2 linked regions of the Lytechinus pictus genome follow. The protein of the gene in region 1 interacts with the protein of each later gene in a pairwise test. Links are inferred from orthologs where the notes say so. Each region holds a gene or a part of one and is shown in the gene's direction. Other genes may lie near its edges.

Region 1 (3,760 bases):
CCTCCCCAAACTGAATTGAAATATGTATAATTTAAAAAAATAAAATAAAATACAAAAGAAATAGTGAGTGAGGGACATCATCAACTCTCTCATTTGTATGTTATAAATGCTCTGTGAAAAAAGGGAAAATCATAAATCCGATTTTGATAACTGCTTACGGTTGTCAAGCTCCATAGTATTCAACTTTTATGCGGTTCATCGGTACATGCAAAGACCTCGGATCATCGACACCGGTCTGCATGGTATCCGACGGTCCCGGGGGGGGGGGGGGCAGTCAAATGTATTGCTGTACACATGCGTGACCAAATTATTTCCAAACACCCCTTAACGATTTTTTTTCTCTGTGTGCAAAATAACCCCCTAAACAAGTTTTTGCGGGCTTTATTTACACATTTTGGTCCCTATAAAACAAGTTGTCGCGTTGACAGCGAGGTGACAAATTTCACGACCGTTTTCCCGTTTCCCAGGCCCGTTGCAGGGTCGTTGCTTAGTAGGGAAGAACCCGAACATTTATCAGAAACGAGGAGGAAAAAGCCCCGGTGAAAAGTGGGGGGAAAGGCTTGGATGGACCTATCGAAATCAATGCACAAGAGATTCACATGATCAAACACACTAAACAATTAATCATTTCTAAAAGCACCTTTTTGCAGACATTAACATATCTCACTACTAAAAAGTAATCGAAGCATGAGTAAAAAAGGGCTTCTTTGTACAGACCTATCGACTATTAGAAGGGATGTAGTTACCATTTGATCCTCATCTTGAAGAATCTTCTTCCCAATTAACCTTTCTTCCTCTTCTTTTTTTTTCTCCCCATTTTTTGCGTCGCCAATGACGGGGGGGGGGGGGGGCTGATCCGCCGGCTTTGGAATAGAACTTCCCCTATGTAGGAGGTCCGAGGTGTAGCAAGTGTGTAAAGTTGAGTATGAAACTGCTGAAGGGAAAGGGTAATCTGCACTTCCATTTTAAGAAATGGCAAATTGATAGGCCTACATGAATAATGCTAAGTTAGTAAGTGGTATAAGAATTTTTTTTTCATCTCTACATTATTCCTTGTCTTTACGTGCAAAACTTACATTTTTATGCCATTCAAATTTGTTATCATGTTCTTCCATTGTTTTAGAAGTTTTAACTAAAGACAAAAAGAAAAACAAATATTCATCTCGGCATTTGAAAAAAACAGTAGGCCTACAATGATTGGCGCAAATATTTGGCGGCATATGCCTACATTTTCTGGGAACTTTCTATCTCACGGTGCGGACTGAGAAAAGATAGTTCCAATTTCTGGAATGTCGCCATCTACGGTTTATCTTTGTTTACTATACCGGTAATGATTTCGCTGAACCAATTACACGATGCCCGTCTCGACTTGTCCCTCATCTGTGCGGAGGCAACGGCTAGCGCTTGCTCTCGCATGGTCATTGTTCGGCTCATCTGGAGCAGAGCTGACCCCTTCCGCACGAAGCCTCGCAGCGCTAGCGAAGTAGTGGATCGGCGAATTGCTCCTACTAGCTGCTCGAATGAATGAGGACCAAAACAATATGGACGAGGACGATGTAGTTGTGTGGGAATGGTTTTCCGACCACGGACGATGGCGAGCTTACGATCCGTCCGTGGTCGTCGAATTGGAAGCGGCATATGGCAGAGAGACCACCCTGGCACTGGCGGATGTTGACCCAGCCTTGTCATCTTATGAAATAGATTTTTCAGCCATGCAACAGTATCGGACCACGTCAGGTTAGCCGGGTTGTTTATCATGTTTTTTGTTATTGTTAATCTGTTGATGTTTGACGCTAATAATGAATGGTAGATCTGCGACTGAGTGCGAGTAGCCTGGAGGCGTCTGGGGAGTGAAAGACATATACTGTACGTATGGTCCCTCCCCTAACGCCTGGGAGCCTAAGCTATATTCCCACACGCACGGGTACAAAACCTGAAACTTTCGCCCCCGAGATTTCTACTTTCCCTCTAAAAGATCTAGCCCTAAAACATGTACATGGAGTTAAACTCCATTCCCAACATTTCTGCGATATTGATTACATTTTTAAAGAAGAATTCATGAAAAAAAACGAAGAAAATGTTATGAAAAGATGAGAGAGCTTACGGCCGTGTTTACGTCGCCATCTTGATTTCTTTGTCTTCCGCTTGGCGACAGCACGCAATCAGCACGCGATTGCGTGCTGTCGCCAAGCGGAAGACAAAGAAATCAAGATGGCGACGTAAACACGGCCGTAAGCTCTCTCATCTTTTCATAACATTTTCCTCGTTTTTTTTCATGAATTCTTCTTTAAAAATGTAATCAATATCGCAGAAATGTTGGGAATGGAGTTTAACTCCATGTACATGTTTTAGGGCTAGATCTTTTAGAGGGAAAGTAGAAATCTCGGGGGCGAAAGTTTCAGGTTTTGTACCCGTGCGTGTGGGAATATAGCTTAGGCTCCCAGGCGTTAGGGGAGGGACCATACGTACAGTATATGTCTTTCACTCCCCAGACGCCTCCAGGCTAAGTGCGAGTGCAAGTTTCATATCTATCAACTCCAAATTCATGGGAACCGGCGGGTATAACGTTAGATCAAGTAACATGCCCAAGATTCGACATGTTAACATGGTTAAAACCGATAAGCTTTTCTGAAATATCAGATCATGCTGAATATTTGTTTTGTTCCAAAATTTCTTTTCACAAACCTGACAAAGTGAATTGCACCAATGTTTGTGACGTGAATAGTGTAGATCTACATACCATACATTACCTCGAGCGAAGTTCGTGCAGGCTCCACTCCACTTCACTACCGCTACACTATGCTCCACCTACCCGAACTTCGAGACCATGAACTCAATCGGATATTCCGAGTGACAAAAGGTGGGATTTTATGGGGAGAAAATACAAAATTCATGCAACATCACGATCTTTAAAAACAAGTACAACTAATATTCTTACTTTACACAAAGTTTCACTTCTTTTCCATGCTTCTATGAGTCTCAAAATTGATGATTTAGAGCCAACACGTAATAATTCGCTGCCGATTTAAGAACATTGCATGCGCGCGAGGGTCCGAGCTCGGACCAGACGGACCAGACCCGGTACCTCCCGCACGCGATGTTTTGAAGTCGGCAGCGCATTAATATTTATACGTGTGAGGAACTTCATATTGGCTCTAAATCATCAATTTTGAGACTGATAGAAGCATGGAAAAGAAGTGAAACTTTGTGTAAAGTAAGAATATTAGTTGTACTTGTTTTTAAAGATCGTGATGTTGCATGAATTTTGTATTTTCTCCCCATAAAATCCCATCTTTTGTCACTCGGAATATCCGATCGAGTTCATGGTCTCGAAGTTCGGGTAGGTGGAGCGTAGTGTAGCGGTAGTGAAGTGGAGTGGAGCCTGCACGAACTTCGCTCGAGGTAACCGTACATGTACTAATACTATGTAGACTCACTCATTCAATGAACAAGGTTATGATATAACCTTGTTCTCAGTTACATCTCCATGTGTGGCAAAATAAGGGTGGCAATGTTTGGCTTATTTTCTCTTTTTCGTTCGGACAAAATACAAATGCTTGATTTTTTTACACTGACAGTTTCCATTACACCTATTCATCATACAAGTTATGTAAGTGCATGTCAGACAAAAAATTGCTTATAAACAGGATTTTGTGTGCAAAGTCAATGCAAATTATGTTGTCAACCAAAAATCATAAATGTATGAATATTTTTAGTTTTGCTGGTCTAAATGTATTTATGTTATGCTTTTTATGATCTC
Region 2 (3,760 bases), on another chromosome or scaffold:
TATTAATAGAGACAGACTCTTTCGGTTGACATGGCAACACTTGATGGGTAGAGCGACGGGTTTTTATTAATCAAATAACGATGCAGAATCCCCTTTGCTTATTAATTTTGTTCTTGAAAATATATTTTCTCCATCACACATCTCTCTCTCTCTCTCTCTCTCCCTCCCTCTCTCTCTCATACACACACACACACAAATTATATTCTCCCTCTCTCCCCTCCCTCTCCCCCCTCTCTCTCATACACACACACACACGCACAAATTATATTCTCCCTCTCTCTCCCCCTCCCTCCATCTCTCCCCCTCTCTCTCTCACACACACCCACACACAAACACACACCACCCTTACCACTTTCTCTACCCCTCTCTTTCTCTCCACTCTCACACAAACACACATTTATTCAATATCTCCCACTCTCTCTCTCACTAACATACACACCCACACACGCATACACACCATCATACATTCTCTTTCTGTCACTCTCTTTTTCACTTTCCCCCTCGAACCCCACTCTCTCCCTCCCTCTCTCCCTTGCTCCCTCTTTTCTCTCCTCTAATTTTCTCTTTCCCTCCCCCAACCTTTTCGCTCGCTTTCGTTTTCATATCTTTTGTTCATCCCTATCCGTTGAAGATATTTTTATCTTCCTCGATCATTCCATCAAATCCATGCGATATATTACCACCCCAGACCTATTTGTTCACATCTTACATCTCTATTAACCTTGTTCATTGTGTTGACATTTACGCCCTTTGTAACAGGAAACTCCGAACGAGCCTGATACAGATTCATCTTGGCAATACCTGAGACCACTCTTCATTTTATCTCCGAATCCGCCAGAATTAAGAGCAACATGTCAGCAGGGTCTAAAGGCAAAAGTGGAACAAGGTAGGCAAATCAAGTTAATTTATTTTTATTTTGATTTATTTATTTATTTTTTTTGTATTCGAGAAGTAAATCTAACCATTAAAGAAACAATGACTAATCAGCTATATTCAAAGTGGAAATGAATTAACAGAATAGAACTGAAAATCAGATTCCGATTTGTTTCTGAACATTTTATAAAGGATAACCGTGGATGTAAAAAAATCCCTGATCCAGTAAGGGGGGAATCCCCCATCCCCACCCAGACCCTTGCTGTGTCTACCGCTTTTGCAGATTTCCATGTTGGCAAGCATGTTATAGTCGGACCAATCTAAATGAACACGATGATTAACACTGCGTGTCAAAGGATTCTTATCTCATATTCTATTGCCTTTGATAATGGATGTACCTCAGGGATATATACTGGCCCCTTTTAACTTTATATTCATGCAAATAAACCCATTATTCACTTGCAACATCCAAATCGTGGTAAAAGGAACATGTTTTAAATTGATTCATAATAGATTAGATCTCCCAACTAATATATTTTCCCCCATTTTTTAAATTCATTTTTTCATCTTTAGAAACCTATTACCTTTGATGTGTTTAGAAGCTTGGTGTTTCATCATAAAATGACCGAGTGCTTTTCAAAAATTATTTTTCAAATGGATCTTAATGGATACATACATATATATATATATATATATATATATATATATATAAGGAAAGAGAGCTCTGGGGAACCTTGATTTAAGCTACGCCTACCATTGTTCTCTTCATCCATTTCTTTACAATATTTAAATAAAAAGAGTTGCCAATACTGTTGTACATGTATAACTTTACACATTTGTATACATTCTCCCATACGTGTACTGTATCAAAGCAATAGCTTTGATCCAGCTGAGGCATGGCGGTTTGTCATTGTTAAAAACCCACCTTCACCCGACAAAGGAAATTATAATTGGTATAGTGTCGAAAATATGTCTAGCTGACGGTCAATCGGATTGGGGTCGCCCTAGCCACTAACCCGTCTCTGTGGTCTAGTGGTTAAGGCACCGGCGTTCAAAGCTGGGGGCCCGGGTTCGATTCCCGGCAGGGACATTTTTTCGGCATCACCAATTTTTCCAAAGGGTAGAGAGCTCTGGGGAACCTTGATTTAAGCATGGACCTATGAAAAGATGGACGATTAACGCGAGCATTTCTTTGACCCAATGATAGTCACCGTCACCTGGTTATGCGCATCTTAATGAGAACATACAGGTGTTATAACAATAGCAATTACCATGACTACCAAGGGTATCTGATCACTCAAAGACGGAACAGTTTCCCGGTCTTGATTTTTGTTGGCTGATCCCCTGTTTCAGTATGTGCCTTTCAGTCAATATGCTTCATATATGGATCAGCAAACTTGAGAAGCAGACGATTTTTATGATATAAAATATGATATTATTCGATCCGCTAACTACCGCTCACACATAAGGACCTCAATAACATTGAAAGATACACGATCTACACATGTTATGTGCCACGTATATCTGGAATATTATGGAGAAACTTGGGAAAATTGAATTTTAAATGGTAAACAATCACGATATTGCCTCTATATTAAAATATGCAGACATTTCCCCAAATAAAACACATGGAACTAAGATTAACAAAGGTAAACAAAAACTGCACATCGATTATCCATTATTTCATTGATTTTCTATCAACTGCGCATATAATTTGTGAAATATAAATGTCCAATCACGAACTAATTCAGTCCCTTCTCACGGTGACGATCATAGGACCAAAGAAGACTAGTATGAAGAGAATGTTATTCAGATGACAATTACCGTCACCTGTTAGTGAATTCATTATCTAAGCGATGAATGTCCATCTCTTCATAGGTCCATGATTTAAGCTACGCCTACCATTGTTCTCTTCATCCATTTCTTTACAATATTTAAATAAAAAGAGTTGCCAATGCTGTTGTACATGTATAACTTTACACATGTATATATATATATATATATGTATATATATTCATTGATATAATTAATAGACAAGTAGAAAGATTGGAGTTAGATAGGTAGACATATACAGTAGATATATTTAACGGTAATGTGTTCTCCGTCAAGGATAGGAAATAATGAATAAATTAATCTAAGAATAGCTGAAGAAAATTTCACTTTCACTACTTTCCATTTATCCTTCAAAAAAAATTAAATGAACAGGTAAATTCACTTCTTCGGCTTTTCTTTGATTATTTTGTTCATTATTAAAGATACTGTGAGTATACACGGGGATATAGACAAGAACATGGGTTTAGAGAAAGCATTGACTTGAATTCTGTTTCTTGACTATCTAAAAATAAATTCAAAATGAAGGGGAAAACATGACGAGTGCAAGCTAATATGAGTGAAGAGGCGTTACCTACACTTGAATGCACTCGAAATGACGTTTGAGAGGACAACTGGTAAATTTGATGCCGTTGATTTCCTGTCAATTTCCTGTTCTAACAAAAATCATTTGTGAATATTATCGAGGTGACTGTCGTTGGGTTGAAGCCATTAGCATGCATGCAGAATAGGAAAGAGATGAAGGGGATTTACTCTTTCCTTTTCTTTTGTACAGTATAATTTTGATCTTTTTTTTTGGTTGTTTGTACTTGCGCGATGGAAATGTTTCACCTGCACATCCAAACATCCGATTACCACTCACACGGAAACACCGCACTCGCGCACACACACCCACAAATACACACTTCGACACGCGTGTCCTGACATTAGCAAGAATTCCAGTAGTGAAGTAGGCAGATTATCTAGAAGGAGAGAGACAGTAAAGAAGAAGAAAAAGAAGAAGAAGAAGAAAAGAAAAAAATCCGAGAGTAATTTCAGTCTGTAAGGTGAGCCGCTA

What was found.
Region 2: the proteins of E3 ubiquitin-protein ligase DTX1-like (region 1) and beta-arrestin-1-like interact in a two-hybrid assay, tested with the Drosophila melanogaster proteins (2 studies listed by BioGRID). The link is inferred for Lytechinus pictus from reciprocal best matches to the Drosophila melanogaster genes dx and krz.

Annotation. Positions count from the first base shown.
Region 1 is NC_087246.1:30,365,817-30,369,576, forward strand, and holds the start of E3 ubiquitin-protein ligase DTX1-like, read left to right. Parts: upstream 1-1,541; coding exon 1,542-1,732; intron 1,733-3,760.
Region 2 is NC_087260.1:3,961,403-3,965,162, reverse strand, and holds the start of beta-arrestin-1-like, read left to right. Parts: upstream 1-851; coding exon 852-886; intron 887-3,760.